2 linked regions of the Kluyveromyces lactis genome follow. The protein of the gene in region 1 interacts with the protein of each later gene in a biochemical or structural test. Links are inferred from orthologs where the notes say so. Each region holds a gene or a part of one and is shown in the gene's direction. Other genes may lie near its edges.

The links.
Region 2: of the proteins of HEL2 (region 1) and RPS20, one has a biochemical effect on the other in vitro, tested with the Saccharomyces cerevisiae proteins (3 studies listed by BioGRID). The link is inferred for Kluyveromyces lactis from reciprocal best matches to the Saccharomyces cerevisiae genes HEL2 and RPS20.

What each region holds. Positions count from the first base shown.
Region 1 is NC_006041.1:1,473,633-1,482,069, forward strand, and holds HEL2 (E3 ubiquitin-protein ligase HEL2), read left to right. Parts: upstream 1-5,689; coding exon 5,690-7,660; downstream 7,661-8,437. Other genes in the region: trifunctional formate-tetrahydrofolate ligase/methenyltetrahydrofolate cyclohydrolase/methylenetetrahydrofolate dehydrogenase ADE3, read right to left, coding at 1-689; peptidylprolyl isomerase ESS1, read left to right, coding at 1,711-2,199; phosphatase YCH1, read right to left, coding at 2,210-2,662; PCT1 (choline-phosphate cytidylyltransferase), read right to left, coding at 2,960-4,189; GEP4 (phosphatidylglycerophosphatase), read right to left, coding at 4,882-5,451; PEX10 (ubiquitin-protein ligase peroxin 10), read right to left, coding at 7,740-8,437. UniProt on the Saccharomyces cerevisiae protein: E3 ubiquitin-protein ligase that plays a key role in the ribosome quality control (RQC), a pathway that takes place when a ribosome has stalled during translation, leading to degradation of nascent peptide chains.
Region 2 is NC_006042.1:2,368,230-2,378,369, forward strand, and holds RPS20 (40S ribosomal protein uS10), read left to right. Parts: upstream 1-4,490; coding exon 4,491-4,844; downstream 4,845-10,140. Other genes in the region: NFU1 (Nfu1p), read right to left, coding at 1-278; KLLA0_F25498g (uncharacterized protein), read left to right, coding at 767-2,272; KLLA0_F25520g (URC4/urg3 family protein), read right to left, coding at 2,655-3,926; YLF2 (Ylf2p), read right to left, coding at 5,964-7,193; deubiquitinase OTU2, read right to left, coding at 7,387-8,340. UniProt on the Saccharomyces cerevisiae protein: Component of the ribosome, a large ribonucleoprotein complex responsible for the synthesis of proteins in the cell.

The sequences.
Region 1 (8,437 bases):
ACTGCTCCACGCTTGTTATTAGCGAACCATTCACCTCTGATGAATTCAGGTTGTCCAATGGCCACTACAACAATATCTGCTCTACTGATAAACTCTCTCAAATCCTTAGATTTAGAGTGTAGAATAGTCACAGTAGCATCTAAAGAGGTTAGCAAAGTAGCCACTGGAGAACCAACGATATCGGATCTACCAATGACAACTGCTTCAGAGCCAGCAATAGTAACTCCAGATCTTTTCAACAGTTCAATGATACCTCTTGGAGTACAAGGTTGGAAATAAGGAGTACCATTACGCTTGTTCAATTCACCGATATTGACGGGACCGAATCCATCCACGTCTTTACAAGCGGAGACACGTGACGTGATTTTATCCTCGTTTAAATGTGCAGGAAGAGGTAGCTGAACCAAGATCCCGTGCACTGAATCATCGCTATTTTCATCGTCGATCTGACCGAGCAATTCCACTTCGGTGACAGTTTCATCCAAATGGATAAATTTAACATCGATTCCAGCATCTTTAGCAGCCTTTAACTTCATCTTAACATAAGTGTTCGAATCAGGTCTGTTTCCAACTTGGAAAATGGTCAAAGTGGGACGGAAAACTGCATATTTCTCCTTTAAACTAGAGATTTCATCCTTAATCTCATCGCGAATGCCATTGGCAATAGCTTTACCGTCGATGATAGCCATAATTTCCGAATAATGTATGGGTATAGAACCTTGCGTGATGATGCTTCTCGAAAACTTTAAACTGGATTAGAGTTGGATTCTCGAAACAAAAATAGATCACCTCTTGCTGTATATATATATATAGTCAGCCCAGCGATGAATATAACCCCGACACTGACCAATTGAGCTATCAAGCAATTGATGAACACGATAAAGAGACCTGAATGTGAAAGGTAGGGCCATTCCAATGGTTTCTGCATCGTTTAGGTACCATTTGATTCCATTTTCATTTTTCACAGTTCAACAAGTCAAAAAAGGATATTCATGTCACGTGACATGCATGAGAGATACGTTCCAACACCTTGGAACGGTAAGGACGAGCAGTATATGGCTTGTATGTCACTTGAATGCAAGCAAAATACAAGTTACGTATCAAGGGTCTTCTTGTTCACTAGCGGAATGTTTGTATAAGTACCTATGAATCAACTCATATGTATGGCTTCATGTATCTGACTCTGACGCGCGTCACGCGTCAGAGTCAAATCTTCTCTTTCGGACCAAATGATTCCCTCAGAAATTGCTGTACGATACCGGCATTCGGCATTGTTTTTTTGACTGGGAAAACGTATCACGTGAATATCACGTGAATAAAGGCTGTTTCCTGAATTCTGAGTCTCTGTAGTTAAGACACTTGTGATAGAATGATTACTTTCAGGTTGGAAAGATGAAAGAGTGATAGAATGGTTCATTCAAATGCTACATACTCCGATGTACCACCAATACAGTTAGTGATATATTATATGGGACAGTGTTTTCAAAGCGCACAACTGAGTCTTTTACCCAATAACAGCACATTTCCAGACTCACATCACGTGACTGAATTGTCACATTCACTCATTTATATATAACGGGAAAATGAATTGAATGGGAATTGAACTGAACAGTAACAGCAGGTGACAATTTAACTACACTGTACATATTATGTCTCCATTATTGTGATATATAACCCAATCTTATAATTTATCTACCCCACAATTTCGTCATGGCAGGTACAGGACTTCCAGAACCCTGGGTTATCAAGTTTAGTAGATCGAAGAAACGTGAATACTTCTTCAACCCGGAGACTAAGGAATCGGTTTGGGAGGCACCGTCAGGTACAGATGAGGACCAATCAAAGAAATACTTAGAGGAGAACCCATTGAGGGTCAGAGCTTTGCATCTCTTGATTAAGCACAAGGATTCTAGAAGACCAGCGTCTCATAGAAATGAAAATATTACCATTACTAAGGATGAGGCTAAAGAAGAATTAGAAACTTATATCAAGAGATTGAATGGTGGTGAACCATTCGAATCATTGGCTAAAGAGAGAAGTGATTGTTCATCAGCGAAAAGAGGTGGTGATTTGGGGTTCTTCGGTCATGGAGAAATGCAACCTTCTTTCGAGAAGGCTGCGTTTGCTTTGAAAATCGATCAAGTCAGTGATATTGTAGAATCTGACAGTGGTCTTCATATCATCAAAAGAGTTGCCTGAACAGGACTCTTCACCATAAATCGGGTTTATAGTTTTCTGTAACAGCTTCATCTAACCCATAATTCGATTGCCAGTAGTTAAACCCGCCTTTCAATACCCATATTTGGAACCTGTTCAACTGAGATTCTGGTATCGACCGTAAAAATAGCATAGCAGAGCTAGGACCTCTCTGTTGTGATTGTGCGCAATGGAAAACGCAGTTAATAATTTCTGATGCACCATCAGCTCCGATTTCAGCTTTATCAAGTAATTCTTGTCTCAATGTATCTACGTAATTCAGATCCGATTTAAGCCTTCTGTAAGGGTAGTTCCAGGATCCCTTGATATGTCCACCTATATGGTCTGAACCTCGAACATCAATGACTTGGAATGGTTGTCCTAGAGATGTGTGTCCTTGTTTAATCCACTGGTATAGGTCTATTGCGTCTAGATATTTCAATGAAGATATGGAATGCGATTGCATGATGAACTTACGTTGCAAAAAAAGCTTCAATCAACTGAGGATCCAGTAAAAAAGTGTCTATTTCGAGGACCGTGATTCGCTGCTATTTGAATTAACCTTTCTATTCTCCTTCTTTTCTTTGATCGTTCACTTAGTTAAATGAGTGGTTAAAGTTAAAATGTCAACGAAATAGGGCATATAAAAGAGAGAGAGAGAGAAATGTATGTAAGTATACAACGGGTACAGGATACATATATGCGAACGAAGTAGAAATGATATCAAATAATAAAAAGTAAAACAACAAGTATATGAGGCGTTTCAATCGGTAGTTGGTGACCTTTCCCTGTCCCCTTCCTCTTCGTCGTCATCTTCATCTGAAAACAAATGATTCGGCGATTCAGAACTACCTCTATGCAGTTCAGGATCACTATCACTAGTTGGAGATTCAACCTCTTCACCAGTGTAGTCTTTCGCGAATTGAGTTACTGGGGATCTACCCGAAATCCTTTTACTTCTTCTAACGCTTTCATGACCCATGGGTCCAATAAGTTTTGAATACAACTTCTTTCCAAGTGTCTTTTTAAGAAGCATTTCTCTAACTTCGAAATACAAGTCCTTTGATGCGACGTTGACAGATTCTTGGTTCTTCTTGAAATACGATCTGAAATCTTGAATATGTTTCTTGAATTCCAATTCGTTCTTCTTCAACCAAGATACGTTCAACTCCTGTCTCGTGGCACCTCTTGCGAAATTTCTCATCAAGTACTTGTCATAGTCTCTGATGATCTTGGTGATAATATCACTGGTAGAAACACCTTCGGTACGTTGGGTAGTTAAAAACTTACCCATTGCTTTAATTGGTCTGTAGATATCGTCATTATCAGCACTAGCGTATGGTAGATCGTCATGTGCCACATAATCGATCTTGTGTTCTTCTAAAAATTTCGGCGTCACAGTCCATGGGGCATCCGGTATCACTTCATCAACCCATCTACAATGTGTCAACGTCTCGCATCTCTGCTTATCGGTAAGGACAGTCAACCCTTTCAACTTGTGCGTCACTTTATCGCTTGGAACACCACAAATCAACGTCACGTTGGGGAACGACTTCTTACACTGTTCCAATTGTTTCATATGACCCAAATGGAAAAGATCAAACACACCATCCGCATATATACGAATCGGACGATCTGTTGGTGGTAAATTGAACTTGAAGCCCTTAGGTCTAAACTTTCTATACTCAACAGGTAGCTCTTCATCCAACTCCTTTTCCCTGGCCTTGAAATCATTTGTTTCAGAGTGTGGTCTTTTCCGCAAAGGACCTTCCGATTCCTCAGTCTCTGCATCTTCGCTGGTTGTTGTTGTTGTTTCAGATACAATCGATGCTGCTGCATCTGGTGCAGTATCGTTACTTTCTACTCGTTCATCGTCACTTACTGTCATCTCATCGTGGGACCTTTTCTTTCCCAATTTGAACAGGTTAGTGAAAGAAGCACCTGTACTAGAAAGACGTTCTTTCAAGGAAGGAGCACGAGTAAGCGGAGCCATTGTGTGATATTAGTCTAGTATGCTAAAGAAAATGTCTGTTAGAAGGTTACCAGTGCGTGCTTGCTATTCTCATTGAACGAAAGGTGTCTAAATTCAATAAACCCTAACACTAAAAACACTCAATTATAAATTCAATTGTTTCAAAGTTACCAAATTACAATTCAAAACCGTGTTACCACTACCAATTCAACCATAATCAACCATCAGTCAAACCGTGAGCATGTCAAAACTCTGAGTTGAAGACCTAAACTTATGTCTATTCGATGCTTAATTTCTGTGAAACTTTTTTGTTCTTTGGACGCATTGTGGTAGGTCAAGTGGGACCATTATTTTTCACATGGGAGAAGTATAAACATACCACGTGATATAAACAAAGGCCGGGTAAATAATATTATTTATTCACAGTAACAAATATATAAACAGCTAATGGGCGGTTAAACGGTGGTTAAAACTCTGGCAGTAACATGTGACAAAGCAGAGTGCGGCAACCACCTCTACAAGTCAAAGTGTATTTCAGCTGATGTGGGACGCCAAGTATGAGTAGTATTTGCACCAGATGAATTATGTGGGATTTACTGGGGAGAAGAAGAAGGTTGGTTCATAAGTTGGAGTCACGTGACGTATACAGTCACGTGACATAAATATTCATTTAACCACAGAAGTTAGATGAACTGCCATCAGGCGCCTGGCAATCACCTTTGCAACCAATTATACACCTGCTGCTCGAGCAACACAAACGGATTAGAGCTCTTGATGACTCCTTCATGTAACCACACAGAGTATGCACCCATTGTGTTAGCCATTACCACATCGGTGAATAACCTGTCACCCACCACTGCGACCTCGGATGGATCTTCACATACCTTGCTTTTCTTGAAGTAGGCCATGATTTCGACATGGCATCCTGGTTTCTTAATCGAATGCAAGAGCACTGGTACGCCAGTGCTCTTCTCCAGTGTCTTCGCCTGAATGTGTCCAATATCATCGTTCGTGCCTGCACTGTTACTGACGATTAGCAACTTTTTCCCCGGGTACAACTGTTTCAATTTATCCCATTGTTCTTGATATTCAGGCCATACTTTGTCGTCATGTGGTTTTGCGAAACAGTTGTCCTTATCAAGGACTATGGCTTTGATGTGACTCGGTAAAGGTAATTGTATCTCATTGAAATTCGCATACTTTATACTGGGAATGCATAGTTTAGGATCTTTGAACAATCTGGCTACGTTCAAAGTAGCGCTTAAATTGAACCCTACAACCATTTCCCAAGGGCTGATGCAACAGAATGGTATGAGGTCGGTCAGTTAGCCTTATTACAGCAGAATTGAACCACCATCCATCGCTAACGCCTATAAATGCCTTGAAAAAAAATTTGTATAATATCAAAAAAGTTGCGAAATGAAGTTTCCACTTCCGAAAGAGTTAACATTAGTAAGTTTACAGATGGGCCTGAGCACTCAATCAGACCAAATAAAGGATCTCTTTTATTGTAGAGCATAGATGTCTTCTAACCAGGGAATTTCTACGGCGTCTGCGCCAATTCGGAGAGCGCAGGGCCCGTCTACATCAAATCGTGGAAGGAAAAGAGGAAATGGCAACCAGAATCATCATGCCACCACCAGCGGTAGCACTGGAAATAGCAGTTCGGTGCATCCAGATTGGAATCCTGTAACTGGCAGCTCAAATAAATGGGCTGGCATTAACGGCAATGAGAAATCTATGGGGACTGGCAATGGGACAGATGATGATGACTCAAGCAACGTGTGTCTGATATGTGCCGAAAAATTGCATATCATTGCCCTATCACCGTGCAACCATCCTACTTGTCACAAGTGTTGTTTAAGACAAAGAGCGTTGTACGAAAAGAAACAGTGTTTGTTCTGTAGAAGTGAAGTTGAGGATATCATCTTCACGGATAAGATAAAAGAAACTTATGAGCATTTGGATAAGAAGGCCAAATTGGAATTCAAGAACGAGAAATTGGGGATACGGTTTACCAGCAAAAATGTTATGAATGATGCTATGAATCTTTTGAAATACGTCTCACCGTTTGGAGATGCCAATAAAGATTTTGGATCGTTTAAGAAGTTGAACGAATTCTTGAGACAAGAACATAATAAGACAATATGTATGATTTGTGCTGGGCATAAAAAAGCGTTCCCCGGCGAGTTAAAAGTTATGACTGTTAAGCAATTAAAGATACACGAAAGTCGTGGCGACCCTAAGGATGGATTTAAAGGCCATCCTATGTGTGGATTTTGCTCTGGTAAAAGGTTCTACTCTGACGATGAGCTTTATAAGCACATGAAACTTTCCCATGAAAGATGTCATATCTGTGATCAACTAGACCCATCACAACCGCAATATTTCAAAAACTATGAGGACTTATTCGAACATTTCAAATCAGCCCATTACGTATGCACGGTACCGTCCTGCCTCGATGCCAAATTTGTCGTCTTCAGTGATGAGTTGGACTTAAGAGCACATATCATCAAAGAACATCCTCATCTTGCAGGTGATAGCAGAAGAGCTATGACGTTGATAGATAATACCTCAAAGAAGTTCAGATCACAAATTACTACGTTCTCCAATCCAACAAGAATTATAGATGCACAGAATGAGGAATCAAATTCTGCAAACTCAAGAGATGTCAAAAGGAGGAGAATGGAACAAAGAGCAAGACATTACCTTGGGAACTCTGAACCAGACTTCCAGTCCTTCTTAATCATCAATGACCTATTTAACAAAAACGAAATTTCTGCTCAAGAGCTTCAATCCAAATATGAAGACTTGTTTAAGCAACACGCGGATGATATACAATTACTAATTTACGATTTATCGGAGTTATATCATTCAACTTCGGATAAACACAAAAGATTGCGTGCTATATACGAAGGCATTATGAAGAAGAAAGAGAATGCAGGGAAATTCAAACCTCTCGTCGCCGATTCATCATCTTCGGTTAACGTAGTTTATGGTAAATGGGGTAAAAAGAGTTCTTCTGGTGTTGGCGGGTCGAACGTGAAGTTCACGTCTCTACCAGCTGTATCCGAACCTATATTCTCCTCCAAAGCCTCGTATACTAATTTGCGGAAAAATGGCTCTTCTTCACCGTCCTCTCCAGTTATTAGGAGCGGTTTGACTTCCAATTCATCGTCATCAACTTCTTTAAACTATGCGAAGAAGAATCAATCACCGCCAGGTTCTTCAACCGTTGTAGTGAATTCACAACCGAATGTGACAGCTATCAAATCACCTAATCCAACCAGCTTCCCCAAGTTACAAGCTACTAAGAAAAAATTTGTTGCACCTCCAGTGAAACAGACTACCATACCAAACCCATCCACTTGGGGTAAGCCTCAAAACGACAACGATTCTATCAACTTGGATTCGTTAGACAATGCATTACCAGCTAGTGGTAGTAAGAAAAAGAGCAAACAAAAACAACTACTGTTCCATATTGGCATATAGATTTAACCCCGTTATATACAGCAGATTGTTTTAATAATACAAGAAAGCTCGCTGAAACATTTAGATATTCTTCTAAGCTTTATCTAACAGGTATCGTCAGCTGTCTCGGACACCTTTGCCTGCATAATGGACACTCCTGTCTTTCTAACGTCCATTCCATGATACAATCCCAGCAGAAAAGGTGACCACACGGAGTCGCGCTGGGATCCAGCATATAGTTAAGACATAAAACACACTTACGTGAATCCTCTTTGATGAAAGGTAGGACTTCTAGATCGCTAAGATCTTTTGAGGTGTGTTTTTTAGCTAATGCACTTAAACTCTTGTGGCTCTTCCCATCATCTGTTCCAATTCTGTCAGCGATGTATTCTGCAATCTGCGGTAAAAGCTTAGAAGCTAATTGCATACCAAGTATAAAACCAAGAATCTTGTAGTTTTGCGATGACTTCTTCTTGAATTCTACCTCATTCTTGTTCATTTCATGGCCAACCACATATCTCATTCCAAATATTCTCTTTGAGATATCATAATACTGTCCGCTCAAGTAGAATATAATTAAGTGCAAATTCAAAGTGGAATCCAAGATGTCCCTGAAACTCTTGCCATTGAATACTTTCAAGAAACCAGATCCCCTCTCATTGAGCTTATACTTGTAGAATACTTTCGATAATATCCACGGTACCCCACAATAACTGATAGCGAAACCAATCCTTCGCAGGAGTCTCGCAACACCTTTTCCTCGCCTATCAACATACGCCAAATCAACGTACTCTTCTC
Region 2 (10,140 bases), on another chromosome or scaffold:
TCATCACCGATCATCATTGCTTCAACACCAGGACATTGCTGGAACACTTTAGATGGGAATGGAGCATGTTTCAAAAGCTCCTCATCAGTGTTCTTGATCTCAACACTCTGTGTGCCTTTCTCCTGTAGCAGCCCCCCATCTGTGGAAACAAATTTCAATGCATTCTCATTAGGCGTTGTAAGTGTCTTGATATGAATAGACCTCTGCCATACGGGATTCAACACCGTTCGATGTACGCTCTTATAAAACTTGGGACCAAAACTAAACCTTCCTAACATCCTCGCAGTTTACAATCCGTTGTCTTGCAACTTCTCATCCTTTCTCTATATATGCACAAACCACTTGTTAATCATCTTAGCATAAGATGAGTGCTTTGTAATACTAGAGGAAATTCCTTTAATTCGAAATCTCTTGAAAATTACGTTTTTTCAGATAATTTATGGATTGAACATTTTAGAGAAATGAGAAAATAAAAGGTCCCTTTTACAAGAAATGACCCACTAGATATCGTAACAGAACAAAATTTAATGGAAGGCAGCAAAATATACTGAGACGGTTTCCGACTGTACAAGAACAAGGTTTTTCTTTCCAATTGTGTGCTATTTATTCTTATCCAGTGGTAGCTTGTGAATTGTGGACCCTACTTTATATCCGAGGCTGTGTGATTCTTAAAGAGACGAAATAAAACTAATTGCCGATCTTTTCTTGAGAGTCTAGGAAAAAGGAGAGAATAAAGGCCTATAATTAGCTTTTGATAGACAATACGATGAATTTCAAATTGAATTGGGTCACTTTGTTTTGTACGGCCCTTTGGTTGCATTTTGCGACGGCCAATAAGGGTACTATCACAGAGAAGCAGAATCAAATCTGCAGTGGTATGTATTCTAAAGAGGATTGGAGTGGTCGTGTAGATCCATATATTTCGTTCGATTTAAAGAAATTGAACAAAGAAGGCATCTCTGTGGTGATCTTTGATTTCCAAGATTACATCCACATTGGGGCTAAGACGAAAGCGGGTGTAGTTAAGTATATCTGTGACGAAGAAGCGATAAAAGAGAATCTATGTCAAGAAAAGAACAAGAACCAGTTTATCATTTCACCTGAAGCGTATGATCCAGATAGTGATACCGAAAAGTCATTAAGTGCCGACATTCATACGTTCTATGTGGGAAATACAGGTCTTGTGAAGGACAAATATGCCATTAAGAAAACTGGTTACTATTGTGTTGGTACTTACGCTAAGGACACTGGGATCTCTTACAAGGCTGAGGTAAATTTCAGGAATAGTTTTGGTAATCTAGCTGCTTCTGAAATTAACAAATTGCCATTGTATGGGTTATTGGCAATCTTTTATGTTGTCGCTATGGCCTTGTACTTATTTGCCTTCTGGAAACACAAGCATGAACTATTGCCCTTGCAAAAATATTTACTGGCTGCATTTGTGTTTTTAACCATTGATACAATCTTCATTTGGGGTTACTATGACTTGAAGAACACTAAGGGTTCGACCGCTGGTACCACTGTTTACATGGTCATTGTTTCAATCTTGAACTCTGCAAAGATCACCATGTCTCTATTCTTACTTCTTGTTATTTGCAAAGGTTACGGTGTGGTTTACCCTAAATTGAACAAGACCACGATGAGACGTGTTCAATTTTTCTCCGTACTTACGTTTGCTATATCTGTCGCTGCCCTTATTCAAAACTATATGACTCCTTCAGATTCGACATCCATGGTCCCATTGTTTTTCTTTATCCCATTAGGCATCTGTTTCATGATTTTCTACTTCTTGATTCTACAATCCCTCGATCAAACTGTCAAATACTTGAAGCAACAAAAGCAAATCGTTAAATTGGGCATGTACAAAAAATTGATAATTATTTTTTATGTCGCCTTATTCGTTATTTTTGGTGGTATAATTCTATCCTCTTTTGTTTTAATCGGTATGAGTAGTATCGAGATGGTCGAACAACATTGGAGAACTAGATTCTTCTTTGTGGATTTCTGGCCATCCTTGGTATATTATGCCGTATTCGTTGCTCTTTCCTTCACATGGAGACCTACATCTACTTCTTATATGTTAGCTGTGTCGCAACAATTGCCAACAGATCCAGAAAATGTTGCAGATTTCGATCTAGACGATTTGCAATCTTTGGAACAAGAATGGAACCAAGAGTACGAACAACCAGCCGGATCTGAACCAAATGAAGCAGACCTAAATTTCTCAGATGATGAAAACGATAAGAAAAAGCCGGTGCAACCATCAGCCTGAAGGAATTATTTTCCCAAGGCTATTTTATCCAAATTTATCAGGGAAACAATGTGCCACCAAAAATAAATTACTTTTCTAGATGATCGTCAGAAGTTGCCACTGAACTGATAATTTATTCTTCATAAGGGCGTTTCTTCTTTATGTTGAATTCATAGTATAAGTGCGTGTGTATAGTCAAGCAGCGTCTAATTATATTCGTAAATAAAAAAATGCAATATGTCAACACATCGATACAAAAATCTACTCCGTTTATTCTTTTCAGTTCTTAACGTCACTTTTAAAAATCAAAATTATGAAACATTTATAAATATAAACTAGAATCATGACATTCAAGATAGGATATGGCAAAGTTGGAGCCAACTGTTCTAATTGCTTGAGCCTTTCAAAAAACTGTGCCATCACTGTGTAAATTGATCGGTGGCCCAGATGTTTTTGATCTAAGTTCTGCGGCAATTTCTCTTCCAGCTTTCCAGGTTCCAGCTTCTATCAACTGTGACAATTGTAAATTAGAACCTAATTTATCGTTTACTAATGGTAACAAGATGTCCAAGAGCCCAATGGTAAGACATCTCCATTCTACAATTACACCATCATCGGGCGTGAATGTTGGGATTGACGGATCATATCCATACTTCTTCGAATTAGTCAATCCAATGTTCAAATATTCTTCTTTCAAAGATAGTACACCCAAATCGTAGAACAACCCCCCGTTTCTGTACTCTGGTAGACCTGTTTGCAAGTCCTTGGAAGATATATTGAACTTGTAGCCAAATTCCTCTAGTGGTCTCAATAATGAATAACATAACCACTGCGTCAATTTATGAAATGACACGATAATTTCATCGTTTTCGGTTTTATACACCCAGCAATCGCCTAAAGGTTCACCGTTCAGAGTTAATCTTCCAGTAGGCCATATAGAGGTATATCCAGTCATTAGAACCTCCCACAACTGTTGCAAATCAATGTTTTCAGAGCCATTTAATTTGTAAAGGTGATCAATTATATTACCAGGCCTGGCATCTTCACCGAATAACTCAGGTCTTTCAGAAAGGGATTTCCCTAAACTTCTGATCAACTGAATTCTACCTTCGTAACCTTGCAAAGAGTTCTTACTACTTATCTGAAACCCTTTATCAAAATCTTGTTGACTGAAGTCTTTCAATCTAGAACCTTGTACTGTCTGAGATTTATCATGCGATAAGGCACCATCTTTGAACATATAGAAAGAGGCCACCGCTAGTCCTTCTGATCTGTTAATCTTAGTTTCTTTCTCAACAAAAGACCATTCTGAACCTGCACCAGCATCGACAATCACACTAAACGTTATCAAATCAATCAACCGTCTGCATACCTCCAAAGGATCGATGTTCTGGGCAGCCCAGGAATTAATGAGAGATCCCATTCTATCAATACCGTTACAGTTTAAATGTTGCCATCTTCCATGAACAGGAATATCGCCTAGGTTCTTGTAATCTCTTTCAATAATATTGACCAAGTAATCTGTCACTTTCGACATTTTACCCAGATCCACTTCAAAATGTGTACTGTCACCATTTTCTGTTTGCAAAGGGGGGCCGTATACTTTCTTACAAGTTTCCCTAACGGATTGAATGGATCTTAAGTACTCCAAGTCTTCGCATTCTGTGTGTGTCATGATAAATAGCCAGTATGTTGGTTTTTGACAGTTTCAACGGGAGATAATATACAATGCCATCAGAATTAGTTTAAGCGAAGTATCAACTGGGATAGAACTATTTCATTCACTAATGAGTGTATTTATATACTTCGTGGATGGTACACATACATTATCCTTAATTCAATCCTAAGTGTATTGGAACGTTAGTTTGCACAAAAAAGGCATTCTTATCTTTTGCAATTGACCTGTTTCGTTATTCTGGCAACGATTGATCCTTAATGTTCAAGAATCTCCGTCGCACCTCCGACGGATATTACCGGGGACTGCTCATTCTTTATACACCCGTACATATATGCCATGGGATTCTACTTTTTTGATATAATCATCCTCTCTTTCCTAAAACAGAATACTATATGAAAATTTCATGATGTTCTATGATGTCGACAAGCTAGTGCTCCGAAGTTGAAATTCTAAGCTCTCCAAGATAGATGAGCATTAGCATGGTATTGTTAAGGTTACTTACAATTAGATATTAAGTCTATTCATGTCATAAGAAACCAATAAAACTAAAAGGTATACACGATGTCTCAAGTTGAAAAGAAATCTGAACAACAACAAGAAGTTGTGATCCACAAGATCAGAATTAACTTGACCTCCACTAAGGTCAAGCAATTGGAAAACGTTTCTGCCAACATCATCAAGAATGCTGAAACTTTCAAGTTGGTCAAGAAGGGTCCAGTCAGATTACCTACTAAGGTCTTGAAGATCTCCACCAGAAAGACCCCTAACGGTGAAGGTTCTAAGACTTGGGATACTTACGAAATGAGAATCCACAAGAGATACATCGACTTGGAAGCTCCAGCTCACATCGTCAAGAGAATCACCCAAATCACCATTGAACCTGGTGTGGATGTCGAAGTCATCATCGCTGCCTAAACGCACCGATAATGATGTATTGTCAATATCAAATTGGCATTCAATGAATAACGGGCAGGAAACTAAAGTGTTGACCAGATTTACTGCACATCCTTTGAGTTTTCTACCGACATACCTTGAATTCAAATTTTTTTATTTTACTTTTATTCGATATCCAGGTCTCAAGAAAGCTCTTGTATCCTCATTCTCTAAGATTATAGTAAGACTCCTATAAAGTATGGTCAATTGTGTTCAATATAGGATGGAACCTTTTTCTGACACTTCAAAAAATGACAACCCACTCTAGGTAGGGTAGTTTATCGTGTACCTCTATTCTACTATCAGTGGTTAAAAAATAATCATATCCTCTACCAACATCTCACTCATATTTGTTTGGTTACTGTCTGGTTTATTGGTTGCTTGAATGAGTAACTTTTTTGTTGTCATGTGTTAGTGCCCTCCATCCTTTGTGTATAATTCGTACATATTTTTTTAATGGAATATGATTTTAATCATGGGACTTCAAAGCAAGGCATTCAAGCTGACAACTCGAAGCAGAGACTTCTGCAAATGGCCTTTCTTCCACATCACTTTGTAACCCTAATTCATGTAAGAATTTCATGAACGCCAGTTTGGATGTGTTTTTTTTTTTCTTTTCGAATTTTTTTTTTTTGAAGTTTTCTTTCAAATGTATAAGAACTCGAACACATTGATGCAACTTGATACTTGACAAAGATCGATTAAAAATACCATTCAGATTAAATGCGGATCGTTTCCATACTCGAAGCATTCGGTAATCGAATTTAAACCACTAAGATCAAGTTACTTAGGTGCTTCAGCAGAAGCATCGTGTACTTCCGCTAGGAAAGACATTGAAGATAGAGGAGAGGGCTTCTCCATAATTAGTTTAATGATGAGAAAATGTCCTTAGTGACAATGCTATAAACCCAGCTCTTCGATCATTAGAAATGAGAAGAGATACCTGTCAAACGCTCTGATAATCACTAGTAATACAATGGAAAACGAAAACAATGCCTTTACTTTATTCTTTATACATGTCGGATCTTTACAAAGCTTATATTCTTGCAGTATGTACGCCTTTGAGTCTATTATCTTGTGTTGCTATGGGTATAGCCTCTATTATTTTTTACCACTAGTAGCTTTGAAGTGGATTATATCACCGTCTTCGACCACATATTGTTTACCGCCTCTTTTGATCTTCCCTTGAGACTTCAATTGCGACTCTTGAAGCGGAGGATCCATTTTTTTGATATCATCGAATTTTATAATGTTAGCACTGATAAATGTCTTTTCTAAATCACTATGGATAGTTCCAGCAGCTTCTGGTGCCAACGTTCCTTTCCTAATGGTCCATTGACGAGCCTCAATTGGTCCACAGGTGTAAAAACTGATCAATTGCAATAACTCTCTCATTTTGATGATAATATTTGGGAGTGCTGTCAGAGGTACTTCCAACTTCTCTTTACCGATGATCTCTTTGCAAAAAGCCTCAAATTCTTGGAGATTGTTGTCCAATTCGTTGTACTTCGTTTCAAGTTCAGCACTAAACAGCATCACTTCGTCTCCAGGCGCATATTCTTGGATCCAATCCTTGATTTTCTTCAAGAATTTGTTTTCTTGCAAAAGATAATCTTTGGGAGCAACGTTAAGTAGAACCAGGGTTGGTTTAGCTGTTAGAAAGTTGTGTTTATTCAGGATTTTAATCTCTTCCTCTGTCCAGTTCTGCTTGAAGTGTGACAATTTTCTTCCCTCGTACATATGGGCCTCTAATTCCTCTAGCAATCTCAGTTCAAGATGCATTTCTAAGAATTCTGGAGAGTTTTTCGGAGATCTGTTTATCTTTTTGTTAATTCTTTCTCTTGCACCTTCCAGCCATTCGAGATCTTTCAGCACCAGTTCATCTTGCACTAATGACAAGTCTCTAACTGGATCCACATTTCCTTCAATATGAGTAATTTCATCATTTTCAAATCCTCGAACCACTTGGTATATTCCGTCTACGTGCCGAATATCATTAAGGAACTTGTTTCCCAAACCTTCCCCACTTGATGCTCCTCTTGTTAATCCAGCAATATCGAAAATGGAAAGTGTAGCTGGAATTTTCTTCTGACTCTCATAGAGTTTATGAAGATGGTCCAATTTAAAGCTGGGTACAATAACCTTGGACTCTTCGGGTTCTATAGTGGCAAAAGGGTAGTTAGCTGGATTACCCAATTTCGACTTGGTTATTGCCTGGAAAAACGTTGATTTACCTACATTGGCCAATCCAACGATGCCTGAAGCTAGATTATTTGAAGGTCGTCCCAGTACGGTATAAAACCGTTTTATAGATTGGTGAATTAGATGCATGTATGTTGGCACAAGGCAATACCTTGCATTGAGGTCAGTTGATTGAAATTTAAGTATTATGAACTATTTCAAGATTTGATTACTCAATGTATCTTATATTGACAGAATCTGAAAAAAAAAAACAAATGATGGGATGAGATGTGAAATCGAACTTCTACAATAAGACAATACGAACCAACTATTGATAGTAAAACTACAGATCATGCAACGAGTTATAATGCTCTCCGAGCGTATACGAATGTTTGTAGTATACGATCTTGAGTTCGGGATTCTTCGCGTCTTCATTTATCCTGTAAGTGGATCTTCCTGACATCAAAATGCTAATGGTACTGTTAAAAACTTTTGATAGTGCCAAAATTTCTACTTCTCCACCCCATTGGGCTGTAGTTTCCATAGTTTTTGTATACTCATCAAGATCCTTTACGGTCATTGTATTTTCATCGAAAAGATATGGGATGAAATCGTCACGGTTCTCCCTAATGAATGATGATGAAAGCGATCTCAACGAATAGACGTCCATTTCAGACACGTACTTGGTACCTGTATATTCCTCTGGAAAGTTATAATCATACTCAATGTCATTATTAGTCTGATGGCGGAGCCTCAGTTGATCTAGAATACTATTAAACAAACAGTGTCCATCCGGCTGGATATCGAATTGTTTCAAATTTAGCACTACACAAACTTTATCCAAAGAGTTTTGCTCAATATCTTTCAAGTTCGGCTGCTCGGCTGCCTCTTCCATTGCCTGTTGTTTAATTCTTGCAACCTCTGCATCCCTTTTTGCCAATCGCTCCTTTTGTCTATTCCTACGTTTCTTTCCCTGTAACTCTGGTTCTCGCTGTTGCAACTCATCGGTTTTACAAACAGATTGCACAGGATCTTGATCTAAGGACAATTGAGCTAATAATTGAGCTGGTGTGATTTCTTCCGAATCAGAATGCTCAAAAGCAACACCGTTCAACTTTGCGAGCTCTGATTTATGTCGAGTATCAAGTTCCTGTTCTAAGTCTGTACATTTGGCATTTACTTGCTTCCTCGTCTTCTTTGATGCTTGCTTCTTCAAAGAAGTAATCTGATTGGTCAAATCTTTACGTTCCTTGCGATGACGCGCAAGCAGCTCCTCTTGTGCAGTTTCAGTAGACATTCACTTATTCTTGAGAGATTGCTTCAGAGAGGAGTTCCTTTATATAACAATAAAAATTGTTAGTATGCTGAAGATGAGATGAGCCTATTCATCTCACTTCTTCATTTTCAGGTTTTTTTGGTTTTCAGTTTCGCAGACCAGAAAGAGAGATGACGGCAGGATTAGCTACGAATAAAAAAAAAATCAAAAAATAGCGCCGCTCGGTTTCGATCCGAGGACATCAGGGTTATGAGCCCTGCGCGCTTCCACTGCGCCACGGCGCTGTCAAAGATGAAGTTTTAGTTTTTCCAACGACCAGATCACATCTGCGACAACTCCAGGCAGCTCCGGAATCATTTTCTTCGTCCCGTGCCCCCGCTGTTGAAATGACTTACCCCACATAAAGTTTCAAAAAAAATGAAAAATCCGGGAGCGTGTTAGGGAATTAACGACAGACCCTGAAGGAAAGTGAGTAAACGCTTCAAAGAGCGGCTTGAACATGTTATATTCCGGTCTACCCCGGAGAAAGATGTTTCACGCGCTGAACAGGAGAAGGTCATTGTATATATTCCTACTTTTTTCTGTTGCCTCTCTACTTTCTGGTGCTATTTGTAAGAGTTTTTTTTGTTTTTCATCTTTCCGCCGGATTGGTTAATTTCCCCGGAGATTCCATTTCTCCGGCCTTGAAACTGCCGTACAAACCATTGGCTCCTTTCGAAAATGGTGGAATCCACTTCCCGAAAATGACCGAGCTGACAAGAAACTGCCCAACTGAAGCTCGAGGGATTCGAACCGTTTAAGCTTCACTGACGTCCGACTATCTACTTTGACAAAAAAAATAAGGACCTTCTTCCATACTCTTATTTGACACCAAACACTTACGTAGTTATGGTTCGCTACAGTTAACACAGGAACATACAATTATAGCAGAGATCGTAATATTTGGAAAGTAGAAAAATGAACTTGTCATTGTTCTGCGCTGGCAGTTCCGATTACCTTGGGTAATTGTGCCAGTTTAGTTCTGTTCATCTTTACATGAAGCCTTTCTAGATGCCTTCGTATCCTGTCTTCTTCTCTGTGTATATTCTGAGTATATTATCGTAACCGTATGCGACAAAACGTAATTGAACTGGCAACTGACTGTAGATCAGTAGTGGGAAACGCAATGTACTGCCGGTGCTCTGATTAATTCCCCTCAGTTACTCTGTGTCGCCTAAGAAAATGTCCTTAAGCTTTTTCCTTTCTTTCATAATCTCCTATATAGTCCGGGAATCATATAGAGAAACAGGAAAAAAAAAACGAAGAAACATCGATGCAGTCCCACATAAAAGTCCAATTTTGGGCCAAAAAAAAAGTATGAACAGTGGAAAACAGCACAATCATTGGAATTAATACGATCCCAATTCAGGAATTAAAGAAGGATTTGCTTTGTTTCTGTGAAATCAGGTATTCTCCGTGATTTGGCCCTTTTCCAATTACTTCCTGCTCCTTCTCTCTTCGCTATTGGAATTGTACAACTTTTAGTTCAAGTATAATTTCAGTTTTATACTTATTATACTAATTTTTTTTTTCTTGGGTAACGTTTCCTTCCAAACTAACAGATTTCATTCAACCTTCAACACTCCAGGAGTACTGGGACTAAGTAATTAAGCATTGAGGTGGGTACAACTCTTGGATTATTAAACTGAGGCCAAAATCATATATTACGCGAAATTCTATCACTACCACCCCATAATTTCATCCTATTTTCTGTCAAAATAAAGGAATACAATTATCAGGGGAAGGAACAGTAAACATAGATTTCGGAACAAGAAACATTAG